Linked DNA regions of Saccharomyces cerevisiae S288C. Changing the gene in region 1 together with any one later gene gives a genetic interaction. Each region holds a gene or a part of one and is shown in the gene's direction. Other genes may lie near its edges.

Region 1 (8,647 bases):
CCGATCAACCATAGCAAAGTTGAGATTGGCGAAGCTAAGAAACCTATTGGCACAGCAACACAAACCAGTCCGGTGTATAGTTGGTTGGTCTTGAAAGAACCAAATGGAGTTACGAGCTCCTCACCCTTTAGTTTGTTTATACCAACAATACCAGCTACGACTAGAACAATAACAAAGAGTAGCAACAAGTTTGTTAATAATGTGTAAATGCTCAAACAACCAATAATCAAACCATAGTTACTGGAAAAGTACTTCAGGTTATACGCCACTCTGGATTGAACTTCCCCAAAGTTTTGAGGTTTGGAAATTTTCTTGAAATTGAAAAATTCTTGCGGGGTGCGAAGGGTTGCTAATTTAGATTGCAAGGATTGGAACTCGCTCTTAATATTTTCCATGGAGAAGTTTTGAGTGAAACGTGAAACTTGCTATAGAAATATAGAAAAAAGGTTAACGCGTTAGTATAGTTTTTCAATGATGCAAATGTGTTTACAATTTAGAACTTACGGCTAAAGCTCCTAACTGATTCATTATTGGAGTATTTGATGTTATTTTATGCGTATTTGACGGCTGATAGTTCCAAACTCAGTGTTCAAAGCCCTGCAATATTGAATTCAATCTGAATTCTTTCGATTTGTATTTATATTCGTTGTTATTATTTATTTTTTCTTTTTGCCTCGATTGCATGTGACAAAAGTGCAAAATTCGTATCGCACGACACAGAACTCCGCCACTAATTAGAACCAGAGAAGTAGCAATGAAGGCTCATTAGTAGGTTATATTTAATTGTTTACGTATTCATGTTACGACACGTCCCTTTTCAAAGACCTAAATCTTGTTTCACAAGAGCTTTACAGATTGGATGATACGTGTCCTTGAATTTGTCGAAAGTTGCAAGTGCCAATCGACGGTCTACAGAGTTTAATAGTCTGTAACCGGGACGGACAAACTTCATTCTACCTACAGTTCCCAACCAATCGGCCAAATGCTTATATTCTTCTTGCAGCTTGGCAAAGATCTGAAATTTGAACATCTTGAAAACAACTTCCGCGTTCTGTGATTTAACAATGTTATCTTGATAGATATCTAACAGTGCCCTAGATGCCACGGGAAACTTGGCCCAGTCAAAATCTTTTGGTTTCTTGTTGGAATGGCCATTTTGTGTCAAAGTTTCCAAGAACAAAACCAATTGATTTGAATTAAAATCCTTAATGTCAATAGCGTTAAATTCAGACCGGAAATCCTCTGTGGTTTTCAAATGTTGAGCCATTTCGACCCACTTGTCAGCCAATTGATAAACATTATCAGCCAAAGCCGTAATAAAATGAGGCCTTGGTGGCATACCTGGTTTATACAGCCAAGTTTCCCAGTCAACGGAATCCAAAATTTCTTTCTTTTCGGGATAGAACTCATACAAAGTATCCAAAAACTGGAAAGTATCCAATGATTTTTTGGCAAACTTCTTGAAATAGTGTCTAATAAATGGATCAAATTCAGCCTTACCACCCAAAATAGTTTCCAAGTGAAATAGTAAGTTGAACCCCTTTTCGTACGGAACAGTGGAAAAGGCATCGTCAGGGTCAGTGTTATCGTTCAAGTTTTGTACCAAAGTGGAAAATCTTTCAGGATCTTTCATAGAATCAATAGAATTCTGCAAATCGCTCCAACCAATCAGAGCACTGAAATGTCTAGTTGGTTCGCCATGAATGGCACCAATAATTCTTCTTTCTAAGTAAACGGTCCAACCTTCATTCAACCAAAAATGATTCCACGAACAATTGGTCACTAAGTTACCAGACCATGAGTGAGCAAGTTCATGGGCGATGACATCAATGTTGGATCTGTCATGTGCAATCAAGGTGGGCGTAGCAAAAGTCATATTCGGAGACTCCATACCGCCGTAAGGGTACGAATCGACGTTAACTAAGATATCATAAGTGCCCCACTCGTATTCAAAGATAATTTTCTCTGCAGTTTGAATGAATTTCTCTACATCGTTTTCAAATTCCCATTGACAATCTTTCAAACGAAATGGTTCAGTGTAAACTGTGGAACGAGGTCCAATTGGAGCGCTTGACAAATCACCGGAAGCAATACCGATCAGGTAGGCTGGGATAGGGACTTTCTGTTCAAATCTGTAAATATTAGTATCCTTGCTTGTATCTTCAATCCTGATGCCTGAAAAAACCACTGGTAGTGGGGACTCGATAGATGCAGTGAAAGTAGACTTCACAGAGGGAGTATCAAAGCAGGGGAACAAAGACCTCGCATGAATAGCTTCCAACTGTGAAAACACGTACGGTTTACCGCCCTTGGTTTGCTTGCTGTTCAACCATTGCAAAGCGGTGCACTTGTCAGTCGTACGAAATTGAATATTCAAGGTAAAGTTATCGTTGCAAGAAGCGTTATTGATGACTAACCTGGAGCCCAATGGCTCCTTTCTTTGCTCAATTTGAAAATCTGCCTTGGAACCATCAATATGAACCTCCTGGACATCCAAATAGGATGTATCCAGATGTAATTCATCCGATTTATTTTTACCTTCGTGCAGTTTTTTCAATTGGAATGTAACGCTCCCTGAAATGGCTGACTTTTCGAAGGAAACAGACAGGTTTAAATCGGTGTGAAGAACTGCGAAGTCCTTATAATTTGATAAAGTAGACTGATCGTATTCGGGGGAGCGGGAAGGTCTTCTCTGCTCAATTGAAAGAGGCAACATTTTATGAGGGGTGGAAATGTGTATGTTTCTTGAGATTACAGTAAGTAAACCTCGAAATCGAAGCGTGGGCAGGTAAATAGAGCTGGAATGACGAATGACAAATGGAAGCAAGAACATCAATTAGAACACCAAGATAACCTAATACATAAAGCAAACTATACTAAAGTGCGTTTATATAAGTCAAACGAAAAAGTGGAAGAAAAAAAGTGACATGATTTTCCATACGCAATGCCCCCGGAAACTGAAGACGCATTGTGTCAAAAGATGAATGAAAGCCACGACGAAACAGCCGAAAATGGTGACAGGAGAGGGCCAACGAGCCCCGTGAGAAGACCTGTGTAGGGCGTACCCATGAAGGAGGCCCCTATGATTTTCCATTTGGAAACACTCAGGATGTTTTCTGATGACTGGATGATGATGTCCTTGAGGACCAGGAGACAGCCAAAAAATACAATTGAGATCGCGAGCACAACAACCAAAGGCCTTGTGTTGATGTCATAGCGAACATACCTTTCATTGATATGATGCGTAGATGGCGTTACTGACGGTGAGCTGTTGTACATAGAGTTTTTGACTCTCACGCTTTGATTATCCCTAAAATCACCCGGAATTCTGTACTGGGATTCAACCGGCACTGCCTGCTTCTGTACCCTTCTTTTATGCAGCAGCTTCCGCAGTTGGTTAGTGGTTCCGCATTTCTGTGATTTGCTTCCATCTACAGTTGAAGTTTTCCTCTTAAAGAATTGCCCAATTGACCTCTTTGATACGTGCTCCATTAATATCTTGCGCCGAAATTGTCACACTATGCTCACGTATGATTAGTGTATTTATATATGAATAATTCAAATGGCAGGCAGTTTCTTGTTCGAGCCAGCATTGGCGAAAAAAATGCCAAAAGTAGAAGTAAATACGGTAGACACTCCAGCAAGATAAAGCTGCAATATATAACACATCACGGCGATGCTTGTATATTTAGGAGCTCTTACGTCCACCAATGCTAATATATCCTCCTAATGATGGCGCTGATACTGGTAAAAACTCATAATGGTAGTAGTCATTAGCCAATACCTGCCTCTTTTTTCCGGGTCATGCCGCATTCTTTAATCAAAAGGCGATGCAACCTACTACATGAGAAGATGACCGCGCAAGCAAAGGTTTAGGAGAGCGTTATACGCTTTACCCAGCCGTCCATTGCACCATGTCTTACCAACGGAACAGTGCAAGAGCCTCTCTTGACCTCAGAAGTCAATATCAACAACTGGAAGGCAGAATGAGGTCAGAACATTTTAATCCCGCCTATCAACAGCAGCAACAAAAAGGCCAGAACATACCCCTGTCACTACCCTCGTCGCTTGCGCAACGCAATCCTATACCTTACCCTATCGACGCTGTGACTTCCGATCCCACTATCCCGGCTCAGTTGAACGTATATGATCACGATCGGCAAAATTCGATAGTCGATGCTGCGGCTGGCACCAATACGACGCACTCTTTGAACTCTAATAATATTCCATCATCACAAAATAATAATATTAATAATAACAATATCAATAATGTTGGTTCCTTCACTGACCCTTCCATGCTAACGCTGCCAAAAATGTCTTTACATAGCCACCAGAAGCAGTATGATTCTAACCAAAACGATCCTAGGTCCCCTCTGGCGATACTGATACCGACTTCTGCGCAGCCCACTGATGTCTTGTCTGCTAGGTTTTCTGCCTGGAGAAATGTTATTCGTGCCATCTTGGTATATCTCTCTGAGACCGCCTCAATACAGGACGAAATAGTTAGACAGCAACTGAGGTTGTCCCATGCTGTGCAGTTCCCCTTTTTCAGCATTGAAAACCAATATCAACCGGTCTCTAATGAAGACAAGTCCATGCAGAAATTTTTTCTGCCCTTAGGAAGTGGATCCGTTCAAGATTTGCCCACGATGCTGACCAAGTATCATGATAATCTGGCCTCTTTGGCATCGAAAAGTTCCAAGGAGTTGACCAGTGAAATTATACCCAGGCTAGAGGATTTGAGAAGAGATTTACTAGTCAAGATTAAAGAAATTAAGGCTTTGCAATCTGATTTTAAAAATTCCTGTAACAAAGAGCTTCAGCAAACTAAACACTTGATGAAGCTTTTTAATGAATCATTAAAAGAATGTAAATTAGGTACACCAAAGAGTGACCCATTTTTGATAAAATTGCAATTGGAAAAGCAAATCAAAAGACAGTTGGTGGAAGAAAATTATTTGCACGAGGCATTCGATAACTTGCAGAATTCAGGGGCCCAGTTAGAAAGTGTTATTGTAATGGAAATACAGAACGGATTGACCAGCTACGCTAGAATTCTTGGCAAAGAAGCCCAAGTTGTATTTGACTCAGTTATCTCTAAATTAGATTCCACGATACTGAACAAAAACACGAATCTTGAATGGGATAGTTTCATTCTAAGGAATATTTCCAATTTTGTGCCTCCAAATTTACCCATGAGGAGGTTTAAAGAGATCTCGTATAGCAATCAAAACGATCCTTTTACTTTTGAAGTTAAATCTGGGTTTCTGGAGAAAAGATCAAAATTTTTAAAGTCATACTCACGTGGGTTTTATGTCCTCACTCCAAGCTTTTTACATGAATTTAAGACACCAGATAAGCATAAATTTTCCACACCGTTAATGTCAATACCATTAGTGGAATGTACTGTCACTGAGCATTCCAAAAAGACGAAATCCAACTCAGAGCAGGGCAAGAACAAGTTTATATTGCGTACGAATTCTAACGGACTAATACATAGGGGTCACAACTGGGTATTCAAAGTAGACTCTTATGACGATATGATAGAATGGTTTGGAAATATCAAAGCCTTATCAAGTTTGCCCAACTATGACGACAAATGCAAATATGTGAGTAAAGTTGCCAAACTGTCTAAAGAAAAAGCCAAGAGTAATGAAAACACCACGGAGAGCGTGACCCCCCAGGTAACTAATGAGCAACATACGAGATACGATGATGTGAGTAGTAGCAATTTTCCCTTGAATTCCATTCCAAAATTAGACAATTTGACAATCACTAACACCACGTCATCGATACCGGAAACGAATGATTCACAAATTCAGAATAGGGTTCCTGAATTTTACATTGAAAATGTAGATTCCCCTAGAAAAAGCAATCAGCTGTGACAAGTAAGTTAATTATATAGTAATGCTCTAGTTTGTATGTAATATTATGTATAAGTTTTCTCATAAACAAGGCTTCTATTTTCAAAAAACATCAGCCCCTTTCCTCCTCTTCTAATAATTTACAAATAGGATTCAGTACAAAGTTTTCCCAATCTTTATCAAACTTCAAATCAGAGAATTTATACAATGAATACTGCTGGTTTCTTGCGCCCATCACCCTTAGGCAGTCATAGTCCAGTTTCGTAATTTGTAAGAAAAGGTCGGACAAATTAGGGTATCTCAGAGGATCTTTGGTTGTGTTATAATCAGGATCACTCGGCTCTTTAAAGAAAAATCCAGTAGTTTCACCATCATCTTCGAGTTTTGCAAAATATTTCTTTTGTAACTCCCATTGTGGTGGAGCTTTTCCGATATTCCCGTTGGCATCCCATGGAGTAACTATATCTAACAATGGGCCCGCCGAGGCATGAACTATGGGGATCAAACCGGAAGCCATATACTCTACAACTGCAATTCCAAAGTGCTCATTCCACATGGCATTAACACCGAAAGTAGATTTGTTTAGTAATATTTCAATCTTATCGAAGGGCAGATTTTTTTCGAATGATATCAAATGTTTAGGAATTTTTAATACATTTTCTGACCAGTCTTGTAAACTTTTAACATAATTTTCATCTTGCTTGGATCTAGTGGACCCCGCCATTATCAATTTAATTGGCGATACAGAATCCGGTAAATTTTTCAAGAAAGTTGCAAAGGACTCAATGATTAACTTATGACGTTTCTCAGGACGAAATTGTGCCAACACAATTGCTTGATTTAATCTCTCACCCTTTGCAGTACCAAACTTTTGCTTCCAATCTACTAATTTCTCAGTAGAGCATGGAGGATATATAATTTTACACGTATTGGATTGCCAAATTTGCTTTATGTGGTTATTTGTCCATGTTGAGTTTGTGATTACAATATCAATTTTAGAACCAATGGATTGATAAATTAACATAAAAACTTTCCAGTATAATATTTTACCGTAAACTTTGATACCCTTCTTGGGCATTTTGAACAGCTTATTTAACATGTCTTTTGACATTATCGGATAATGCGTATATGTGACGATAGGAATTCTCCTCAAAAACCTAGCAATAATAGGATAGCTGAAAGGGTACCCCATTGTATCAATCCATATATCAGGTGGACACTGAATAATGGATTCAAATGCGAGAATCATTGATCCAATTGCTTGTCCAATCAACGTGAAATGCTTCCATGTTGAAGAATCCACCAAGTATCTTAGCTTCAATGAAATGAAAAATATTCTATCCGAATCCAAGTCGTAATCGAACTTCGCTTTCACATTATTTAGAATATTCTCCGGAGTAACATTCTCTCCATTCACAAAATCCCCTGAATAAATGACAATAACGTTCTTAGCATCTTTTCTCAAAGTGATATCTACAGCTTTCCAGAGCACTTTTTCCCCACCACCACCAGCATTACAATACGGATGAAAAAAACCAAAAACTTTCACATTCTTCTCACCACAGGAGGCAACTGCTCTGTTCAGTAATGAAGATTTTTTGGAGAACGGATTCAAGCTGGAATACACCCATTGACGGAAGATCCACGTGAGAACCTTAATTAGTCCATACACTAGTACTAAAGATGATACAACATATTTTTTGAACCCAAAATGAGACTTAACCTCTTCAAAATTGTAGTTTGTCCAAGCACTGCCCATTTTCGCCTGCAATCACCTGAACATGTTGGTCACACTTGGATACTAACATCTATCTTCACTTCACTTACCTCTCAATCTTATTATTTATTGAACTTTTCACTTTTTGTTTAGCTTACCCGAAGGACATAGATGTAGCGATGACAACGATGAATGATACGTCAGTTAAAAGGGTCTTCGTCGAACTCTTCATCTAACCCTTCATTTGCAGTGTGCTTGGTTGATGAACCTTCTTCCATTAATGATCGACAGCTGCAGTGAATAATGTCTCATCATAAGAAGAGGGTGTACCCTCAAGCTCAGGTGCCATACATTGCAAGTATGCCAATAGTTGCAGAGCAACAGCAGTCTCAACAACAAATCGACCAAACAGCTTATGCAATGGGCAACCTACAATTGAACAATAGGGCTAACTCATTTACACAGCTAGCTCAAAATCAACAGTTTCCTGGTTCTGGGAAAGTGGTCAATCAACTATACCCTGTGGATTTGTTTACAGAATTACCTCCGCCAATCCGTGACCTGTCTTTACCACCTCTTCCAATCACCATTTCTCAGGATAACATTGTGACTCCATCCGAATATTCAAATGTTCCATACCAGTACGTCAGATCTACTTTGAAAGCGGTGCCAAAAACAAACTCTCTGCTGAAGAAAACGAAGTTACCATTTGCCATTGTTATTAGACCATATTTGCATTTGCAAGATTCAGACAACCAAGTACCGCTAAATACTGACGGAGTCATTGTCCGCTGTCGCCGTTGTCGTTCATATATGAACCCTTTTGTCGTTTTCATTAACCAAGGGAGAAAATGGCAATGTAATATATGCCGTTTCAAAAATGATGTCCCATTTGGGTTTGATCAGAACTTACAAGGCGCTCCAATCAACAGATATGAAAGAAACGAAATTAAAAACTCTGTCGTGGATTACTTGGCTCCCGTAGAATATTCTGTTAGGGAACCCCCACCATCTGTTTATGTATTTCTTTTAGATGTTTCTCAAAACGCTGTCAAAAATGGTTTAT
Region 2 (9,126 bases), on another chromosome or scaffold:
CCACCTCTGAATCGCTTGCCTCGCTATCGTTAGCCCAAAGAGTATATTCATCATTTTTATCACCATCTTCCTCGTCGCTGATGTCGATAATGTCTCTGAGCACGCTTGTGTATTTTGTTCTTTTATCTTTCGTGCTGTTGTTGGCCGTCAGCGTCTTGATATGCCCATTATCTTCAACTATTTCACCAGTTTTCAGGTCTACGAGGTCTCCTTGTTCTTCAATAGACTCGTATTTGCTTATGATGTTGGACCACACTTTTCTCATGTTTTCGTCTGCTAGTTTGTGGCGCTCCATGACTTCATCATCGGTTAGTTTAGGGATGATGTGGTTTTCCTTGGACATTATATACACATGACCATTTCTTTCAGCAATTGGCCGTGAAATTCCATCGTCCTTTTTGGTCTTCCGTTTTTCGATATTTGGCGGATATACTCGATGAACAGGATTGCAATCGCTATGTTTTCGTATTTTGGACTCACTCTTCTTGCCGGACTCTTTCAATAGTCCTTTTAAGGCACCATGGAGATTTTTCAGGCTTCTTCTTTTAGAAATTTTCTTATTGGTTTTCATCCTTCTGTTAATTTGTAGTGGAGGCGTCGATATGCTGTATCCCACTTTTTGTTTATATATCATCTGATCCATTAGCTGAAAAATCGCGGTACTGAAGCTTTTTTCATGGCGCCCTTGAAACTTTCTCCTTCCGCCTGCGCATTATATAAAATACGTTACAATAGGAAAAGATGACAGTTACTTAAAGTAAAGCTTCACAGCTTCAGACAAAAAAAGTATGAAACTTGTGAAGATGTTTTTATGCTGATCCGGCAGACGGCCATTCCATTATTTAGTTCTGATTTTAGTGGAAAAACTTTCGAAACTTAAAATAATAATAGCCCATTCTTGGACTGAGGTACATTTTCTTCTTATTGGATTTCGTTTATTAGCTGTTTAACATATTTCTGTAGGGTTTTTTTTTTTTTTTTTGTACAGATTAGAAACCATACAGTGTAAACCATTATATAGGTCAATTAATATATTTATAGATCATCCTGTCAATTTTTTTTTATTTTTTTTTGCAAAGCTCCCTTTTTCCTGAAACCAACAACAAAATATAAAAAAAAAATGATAAGCAGGATTTTTTCTTTTAATAATTCCTTAAAATTAACTAACAAGCTGAAGCCCTTACAACAAAGTAAGTCAAACCCAATTCACAAAAAAAAAATCTGTTTTATTTCAGATATGCAGGGTATATACATGGCACAGATAACCTTTTAATGAAAAGTAGCAATTGTGATACTAGCGCCTTTTTCCTTGCAAGAAAAGGGTTCCCTGTTCCTGCATCGTCCATCGGCATAGAGATGTCGCCGCTACCCTATCCAATTCTACCGCATGCCTAACAAAATGATTTCCGATTTTTTCAATCTAACTCCGTCATTTCTTATCTGAGTTTTCCTCCCCGAGATAAATTGAACAAAGAATTTAATCGGCTCATATGTGAAAAAGTGTGATACTTACCGCAATGGGCAAAAATTATTAAAAAAAATCTAATTCCGCGCTTGGCTATTATCTCATTACCGACTCAACGGTGACTACCTGCCGTACACGCTTCCCCTTTGCTTCTTCCTCCACCTCGAAAGTAGAACATATACATGGAACAGACATAAGCTCTTCAGCGTATCTATTTCATAAGTGGAGAGCATCGAACAATAAACCTTTGCCTAATTTCATATAACATCCAGTATTCATTTTTTTTAGTTGACGCTAAGGCATTCGCTTGTGAAATTAAAGAGCAGATCAGGAATAGTATCAATAGTCTAAACCATCAAGTTGCACAGAAACCACTATATATATATGGAAATATCTCGAATATTGCTTGTATGAACGATAGCCAAAACTGCCTACGACAGAGGGAAGAAAATAGTCATCTGAATCCTGGAAATGACTTCGGCCACCACCAGGGTGCAGAATGTACGATAAATCATAACAACATGCCACACCGCAATGCATACACAGAATCTACGAATGACACGGAAGCAAAGTCCATAGTGATGTGCGACGATCCTAACGCATACCAAATTTCCTACACAAATAATGAGCCGGCGGGAGATGGAGCTATAGAAACCACGTCCATTCTACTATCGCAACCGCTGCCGCTGCGATCGAATGTGATGTCTGTCTTGGTAGGCATATTTGTTGCCGTGGGGGGCTTCTTGTTTGGGTATGACACTGGACTTATAAACAGTATCACGGATATGCCGTATGTTAAAACCTACATTGCTCCGAACCATTCATATTTCACCACTAGCCAAATAGCCATACTCGTATCATTCCTCTCCCTAGGAACATTTTTCGGTGCGTTAATCGCTCCCTATATTTCAGATTCATATGGTAGGAAGCCAACAATTATGTTTAGTACCGCTGTTATCTTTTCCATCGGAAACTCATTACAGGTGGCATCCGGTGGCTTGGTGCTATTAATCGTCGGAAGAGTGATCTCAGGTATCGGGATCGGGATAATCTCTGCTGTGGTTCCTCTTTATCAAGCTGAAGCTGCGCAGAAGAACCTTAGAGGTGCCATCATTTCCAGTTATCAGTGGGCTATCACTATTGGGTTACTCGTGTCCAGTGCAGTATCGCAAGGAACTCATTCCAAAAATGGCCCGTCTTCATATAGAATACCAATTGGTTTGCAGTACGTTTGGTCAAGTATTTTAGCTGTGGGCATGATATTCCTTCCAGAGAGTCCAAGATATTACGTCTTGAAGGATGAACTCAATAAAGCTGCAAAATCGTTATCCTTTTTAAGAGGCCTCCCGATCGAAGATCCAAGACTCTTAGAGGAGCTTGTTGAAATAAAAGCCACTTACGATTATGAAGCATCGTTCGGCCCGTCAACACTTTTAGATTGTTTCAAAACAAGTGAAAATAGACCCAAACAGATTTTACGAATATTTACTGGTATCGCCATACAAGCTTTTCAACAGGCATCTGGTATCAATTTTATATTCTACTATGGAGTTAATTTTTTCAACAACACAGGGGTGGACAACTCTTACTTGGTTTCTTTTATCAGCTATGCCGTCAACGTCGCCTTCAGTATACCGGGTATGTATTTAGTGGATCGAATTGGTAGAAGACCAGTCCTTCTTGCTGGAGGTGTCATAATGGCAATAGCAAATTTAGTCATTGCCATCGTTGGTGTTTCCGAGGGAAAAACTGTTGTTGCTAGTAAAATTATGATTGCTTTTATATGCCTTTTCATTGCTGCATTTTCGGCGACATGGGGTGGTGTCGTGTGGGTGGTATCTGCTGAACTGTACCCACTTGGTGTCAGATCGAAATGTACCGCCATATGCGCTGCCGCAAATTGGCTAGTTAATTTCACCTGTGCCCTGATTACACCTTACATTGTTGATGTCGGATCACACACTTCTTCAATGGGGCCCAAAATATTCTTCATTTGGGGCGGCTTAAATGTCGTGGCCGTTATCGTTGTTTATTTCGCTGTTTATGAAACGAGGGGATTGACTTTGGAAGAGATTGACGAGTTATTTAGAAAGGCCCCAAATAGCGTCATTTCTAGCAAATGGAACAAAAAAATAAGGAAAAGGTGCTTAGCCTTTCCCATTTCACAACAAATAGAGATGAAAACTAATATCAAGAACGCTGGAAAGTTGGACAACAACAACAGTCCAATTGTACAGGATGACAGCCACAACATAATCGATGTGGATGGATTCTTGGAGAACCAAATACAGTCCAATGATCATATGATTGCGGCGGATAAAGGAAGTGGCTCGTTAGTAAACATCATCGATACTGCCCCCCTAACATCTACAGAGTTTAAACCCGTGGAACATCCGCCAGTAAATTACGTCGACTTGGGGAATGGTTTGGGTCTGAATACATACAATAGAGGTCCTCCTTCTATCATTTCTGACTCTACTGATGAGTTCTATGAGGAAAATGACTCTTCTTATTACAATAACAACACTGAACGAAATGGAGCTAACAGCGTCAATACATATATGGCTCAACTAATCAATAGCTCATCTACTACAAGCAACGACACATCGTTCTCTCCATCACACAATAGCAATGCAAGAACGTCCTCTAATTGGACGAGTGACCTCGCTAGTAAGCACAGCCAATACACTTCCCCCCAATAAAAACCAATAGCATCTTACGATCGTTCGAGGTCTTATAAACCGTTTTATATAAATTATTCTTATACACGCACTCTTGAGTTTCTTTTAACATTCCAACATGATAGACATAGAAAAGAATTATAGATAACACATAACATTACTCACAAGTAGCCCATGAGTTTGATTTTTCCTCGTTAATTCGGTGTCAAGTGGAATACAAAATGGGTCAACTGATCATAACTATTACCCGGATAATCTACATCATGTGGTACGTTAACGATGTATGGTTTCCTAAATCACCGGGTTCCAGATGCGGGTTGTTGTTGTTCGATCTTGCACCTCCACGTACTCCTTTTGAATAGTACACATATACCCTTACAGGAGATCGGACGTGTGCGATTATTGTTACCTCGTCACCTGTTATCGGTTGAACTGTTTTAGCTCTTTCCATTCCCTTTGTTAATAGTAGTTTAATTCTTCGGAAACTTTCTACGCAGACTCAAGTTGCAATAGGCTAAAGATAAGGCAGACACTTTGTATGTAACGAGTTTCATTAGGAGGGATAGACGCACGACACTATCTGGTACTACGTGTTATATCATACCCAGAAGGAAGGACTCTCTCCACTGAACGGTGGGATGAGTTCCTAAAGGCGCCCCTTTATTTGATCAGGAAGCCGTATTGATTATCTAATAGGGCCTAGTTATCCTAATTGTGGGGAGTCGAGCAGTACGGCTCTGATGTTTTTCGAACGAAGATAAGGAGTTGACATACAAAGTCAACAGAAGTTCTTCTTGTTAGCGTCTCTGTGCTCAATATCTCTCTTTTTTTCTTTAAGTAGTAATTACTAACATCAGCCAACCAATAGAGATAAAAAAAAAAGGAATTAAGATTTCATAGAGAAAAGATGGGTCTATACGCTTCTAAGTTATTCAGCAATCTTTTTGGCAACAAAGAGATGCGTATACTTATGGTTGGTCTAGATGGTGCCGGTAAGACCACCGTTTTGTACAAGTTGAAGTTGGGCGAAGTTATCACTACCATTCCAACCATTGGTTTCAACGTTGAGACTGTCCAATATAAGAACATTTCCTTCACTGTCTGGGACGTCGGTGGACAAGACAGGATTAGATCTTTATGGAGACACTACTACAGAAACACCGAAGGTGTTATTTTTGTCATCGATTCCAACGATAGATCGCGTATTGGTGAAGCCAGAGAAGTCATGCAGAGAATGCTGAATGAAGATGAATTGAGAAATGCTGTCTGGTTAGTCTTCGCTAACAAACAAGATTTGCCAGAAGCCATGTCTGCTGCTGAAATCACCGAAAAATTAGGTTTACATTCTATTAGAAACCGTCCATGGTTTATCCAGTCTACTTGTGCAACCTCGGGTGAAGGTCTGTACGAAGGTCTGGAGTGGTTAAGCAACAACTTGAAGAATCAATCCTAATCTAAATCTGTATAGAACGTTTAGTCATGCGGACCTTGTGTGTTTTGTTTCTAGATTGTTTTATTTTTATGATTGTTGAAGATATAAACCACTGTATAGTTGTATAAGATAGGATAATGATGGTGCACTGAAAATAAACTTACTAGCTCTTTAATATTGCAACGGCTTGTAACGGGCGCCATGATGACATTCAGAATTATACCACTACTATATGAAAAAATGAAAAGAGGCCCTGCTTTGAACCCGTACATTTTATTCTATAATATTGCATCTGTGGTTTGCCTGACGGCAGCGAGTCCAACACAAAGTCTGGCATATGCTACGAATTTTCCACCATGGATTCAGCACCCAAACATTTGAATTTTTTTTCATGTCGATTGTGAAATTTTACTGAAGATGAGGGTAAATAGAGGCCTGCAATCGTCATCATATGAGAAATGGATATATTGAAAATCTACTCACATCTCTTTTTTGGGGGTTTGGTAGTACAGTGAGAACACGATAAAGAACCAAATAGGACTAAAAATGGTATGTAGAGATGAATATACATGAAACGGACGTGATATAATGTGCTATGGAAGAAAAAAGTCTCCTTTAATGTCTGCAGGATAAATAATCAAGTGGTCTGAAGAAAATTTACAGCTACAGTATTACTGCAAACCTTGCAGGCAAATATCAGAGAGATCTCACCAGCTACAACTTGGTAACAGAAATTTATAAGTTTATGGCACTTGTTAAAATTGTTTGGAAGTTTTCGAAATTATAATATTGGTCTTCAGAAACCTGGAACCACATGTGAACTATTTTTTTTGGATAATGCATTGCACAGAGCGTATTAGTGTATACGAGAATCTAAAAATTTGAAACTGGCTCATAAAAACAGGAACTTTTACTAACAGTTATGATTTTTTGTTCCCATTTTCTTATCAATAGGCCGGCGTTAAAGCTTACGAACTAAGAACCAAATCCAAGGAACAATTAGCTTCTCAATTGGTTGACTTGAAAAAGGAGTTGGCTGAATTGAAGGTCCAAAAGTTGTCCAGACCATCTTTGCCAAAGATCAAGACCGTCAGAAAGAGTATCGCCTGTGTCTTGACCGTCATCAACGAACAACAAAGAGAAGCTGTTAGACAATTATACAAGGGTAAGAAGTACCAACCAAAGGACTTGAGAGCCAAGAAGACCAGAGCTTTGAGAAGAGCTTTGACCAAATTCGAAGCTTCCCAAGTTACCGAAAAGCAAAGAAAGAAGCAAATCGCTTTCCCACAAAGAAAGTACGCTATCAAGGCTTAATTTCGTTAGATTATCATTTTAATATTTGATTTTTGGATATAGTTTAATTTGTATTTTTTAAGAACACCAAACGGCAATTTATTTTATTAGTGATCTACTAGCTAAATCAATATACTACATTAAATTTTTATTTGCCATCTTTGTCATAGGATCCGACGTCATAATCAGTCAGGAGCCCTACCCCTATACTTCAATTTGAAATTAAGAAAAAAAAAGTGTAGTAGAACAGGAAAGTCGTATTAATCCATATGTAGATAAAGGTATGCTCTTGTTTATACAGGCCATATCTACATTGTGCATTTCAAGAACTTATTATTTTTTGACAATTTCGACCCCCCAATTTAAAGTCAAGTGGTTAGTTTTATCATCATCAATGAATTTTGATACGGCACTGTAGTTACCTCTTGCTAAAAACCCACTAGGTGCTTCACTTTCCGGTAGTTCCACCTCATAAAATGGTTTGGTCTTGGTATTAGGAGCATACGATCCCAAATGATCGTCTATCTTGTCAACGGCAATACCCGCTTTTTTGATATACTGGACATATCGCAACCCTGTGATAATTTCATGTTGAACTTTGAACACAATCTTCAACTTATAAATAGAATTTTCTTTAATTTTGTATCTTTTAGATGCCAGTTCTTTGATTGTCTTTTCGTTGGTAAGATCAAATGTGATAGGATTTGGTTCTGTATTGACTAGTAATTGAATTTTTTGAACAACCACCTTCCTTTTGTCACCGGGAAATTCCAATGGCAAGACGTCTGAACTTAGACCCAAAGACTCTTTCCATTTCGCCAAGGATTCGTCTTCAGCATCCAGATTTTTGTATTCGTCAACAGTTTTTTTGGCTGAAACTTTATACTGATCGTTGTTTCTCTCCTCTTCGAATTGACTAAAGTCGGTACTTTCTTCGGCCATTATTCAGTTTTTCTCTAATAAAAAAGCTCAATACTCGAGTTATTCGTGTGGCTAGAAAAAGAATCAAAGTAATACAAGCAGCCTGAAGAATGGAAGTTCTTTCCACTCAATCTTTATAACGTTTCCCTGATCTATCGCGAAATTTAAACGATCGCGTTAGAGAACCGTTTCACCCGGAGTAATGATCAGAATGATTAAAGCGTTGGGGAGGAAAAAAAGCCTCGTATTGATTGATATATCTGAAGAATAATAAAAGAAGAAAATTTGCAAGGCAATTTGCAGTTTATTTTTGGCTAAATGTGTAATTAACTATGATAATGGTAAAGGAGAAAAGTGAATATATATCTATATAGATGCATATATGTATACATACTCATAAAAAGTAATCTGGCGTCTTTCTGCTGACGCTAGGTTCACCTGGTCTTACGGATGGGTCGTACTGTAAGAATTGTCTATTATGATTCTCGTCCACTTCCATGATAGCTGCTTGATTACCACATCTGTAGCAGTAATTAGGAGCACTGAAAATGGTGACAACATTTTGCTGGTGAGACCAAGCATAGCCTTCCATTACCAATTGGTGAGCTCTTGCTATTAGTGATAGATCATTAGTGTGATTGAATTGCTCACTGACATCTTGTCCAAAAGTGAAGCCTGCACCTCTGGGACTGATTCCCCATCCGCCTCTATCGTCAGGGTCTGACCATAGAAGGTCACACATAGGACCTTCATGAGGCACTTCCTGTATTCTGTTCAACTCTCTCACCTGATCTATGGTTTCTATCATGGGGGAAAGTCCTCCATGCAGACAGAAAATTTTATTATCTACTAATGCGGTTATAGGAAAATAATCGAAAAGATCTGTGAACATTTTCCACACGTTTGCACTGCCGTACTTTCTCAAACATTCATCATAAAACCCGTATACTTGGGTAATCTGCCTAGACTCGTGATTGCCTCTCAGTATCGTAATTCTATGTGGGTATCTGACTTTCATGGCAACTAGGTAAGATACAGTTTCAACAGAATAATATCCTCTATCCACGTAATCACCCATGAAAAGGTAATTGGTGTCAGGACAAGGGCCACCAATCTTAAAAAGTTCTAACAAGTCATGGAATTGACCGTGTACGTCACCACAAATGGTAACAGGCACGTTAATTGGTTTAACATTCTCCTCGAACTGCAACACGTCCACCGCCATTTTACATAGTCGTGCTACATCGTCTTCTGATAGTGGCTCGCATTTACTCAAATGCTCAATCCATTGGTCAAGCTGATTTATATTTGTGTTATTCAGTTCTAGTGGTTTG

The links.
Region 2: mutations in SLM2 (region 1) and RGT2 together harm fitness more than expected from each alone (negative genetic interaction), as found in Saccharomyces cerevisiae (2 studies listed by BioGRID).

What each region holds. Positions count from the first base shown.
Region 1 is NC_001146.8:537,149-545,795, reverse strand, and holds SLM2 (phosphatidylinositol 4,5-bisphosphate-binding protein), read left to right. Parts: upstream 1-3,914; coding exon 3,915-5,885; downstream 5,886-8,647. Other genes in the region: YIP3 (Yip3p), read right to left, coding at 1-425, 505-528; LAP2 (bifunctional aminopeptidase/epoxide hydrolase), read right to left, coding at 818-2,833; YNL046W (uncharacterized protein), read right to left, coding at 2,974-3,492; alpha-1,2-mannosyltransferase ALG11, read right to left, coding at 5,977-7,623; COPII subunit SFB2, read left to right, coding at 7,885-8,647. UniProt on the Saccharomyces cerevisiae protein: Together with SLM1, effector of the TORC2- and calcineurin-signaling pathways. Phosphorylated and activated by TORC2 under favorable growth conditions. Mediates actin polarization via inhibition of calcineurin-dependent transcription.
Region 2 is NC_001136.10:211,476-220,601, forward strand, and holds RGT2 (glucose sensor), read left to right. Parts: upstream 1-1,875; coding exon 1,876-4,167; downstream 4,168-9,126. Other genes in the region: SCM3 (Scm3p), read right to left, coding at 1-571; Arf family GTPase ARF2, read left to right, coding at 5,054-5,599; 60S ribosomal protein uL29 RPL35B, read left to right, coding at 6,125-6,127, 6,533-6,892; RDI1 (Rdi1p), read right to left, coding at 7,205-7,813; phosphoprotein phosphatase 2A catalytic subunit PPH21, read right to left, coding at 8,187-9,126. UniProt on the Saccharomyces cerevisiae protein: Low-affinity high glucose sensor that is part of the sensor/receptor-repressor (SSR) glucose-signaling pathway, which detects extracellular glucose and induces expression of glucose transporters that bring glucose into the cell.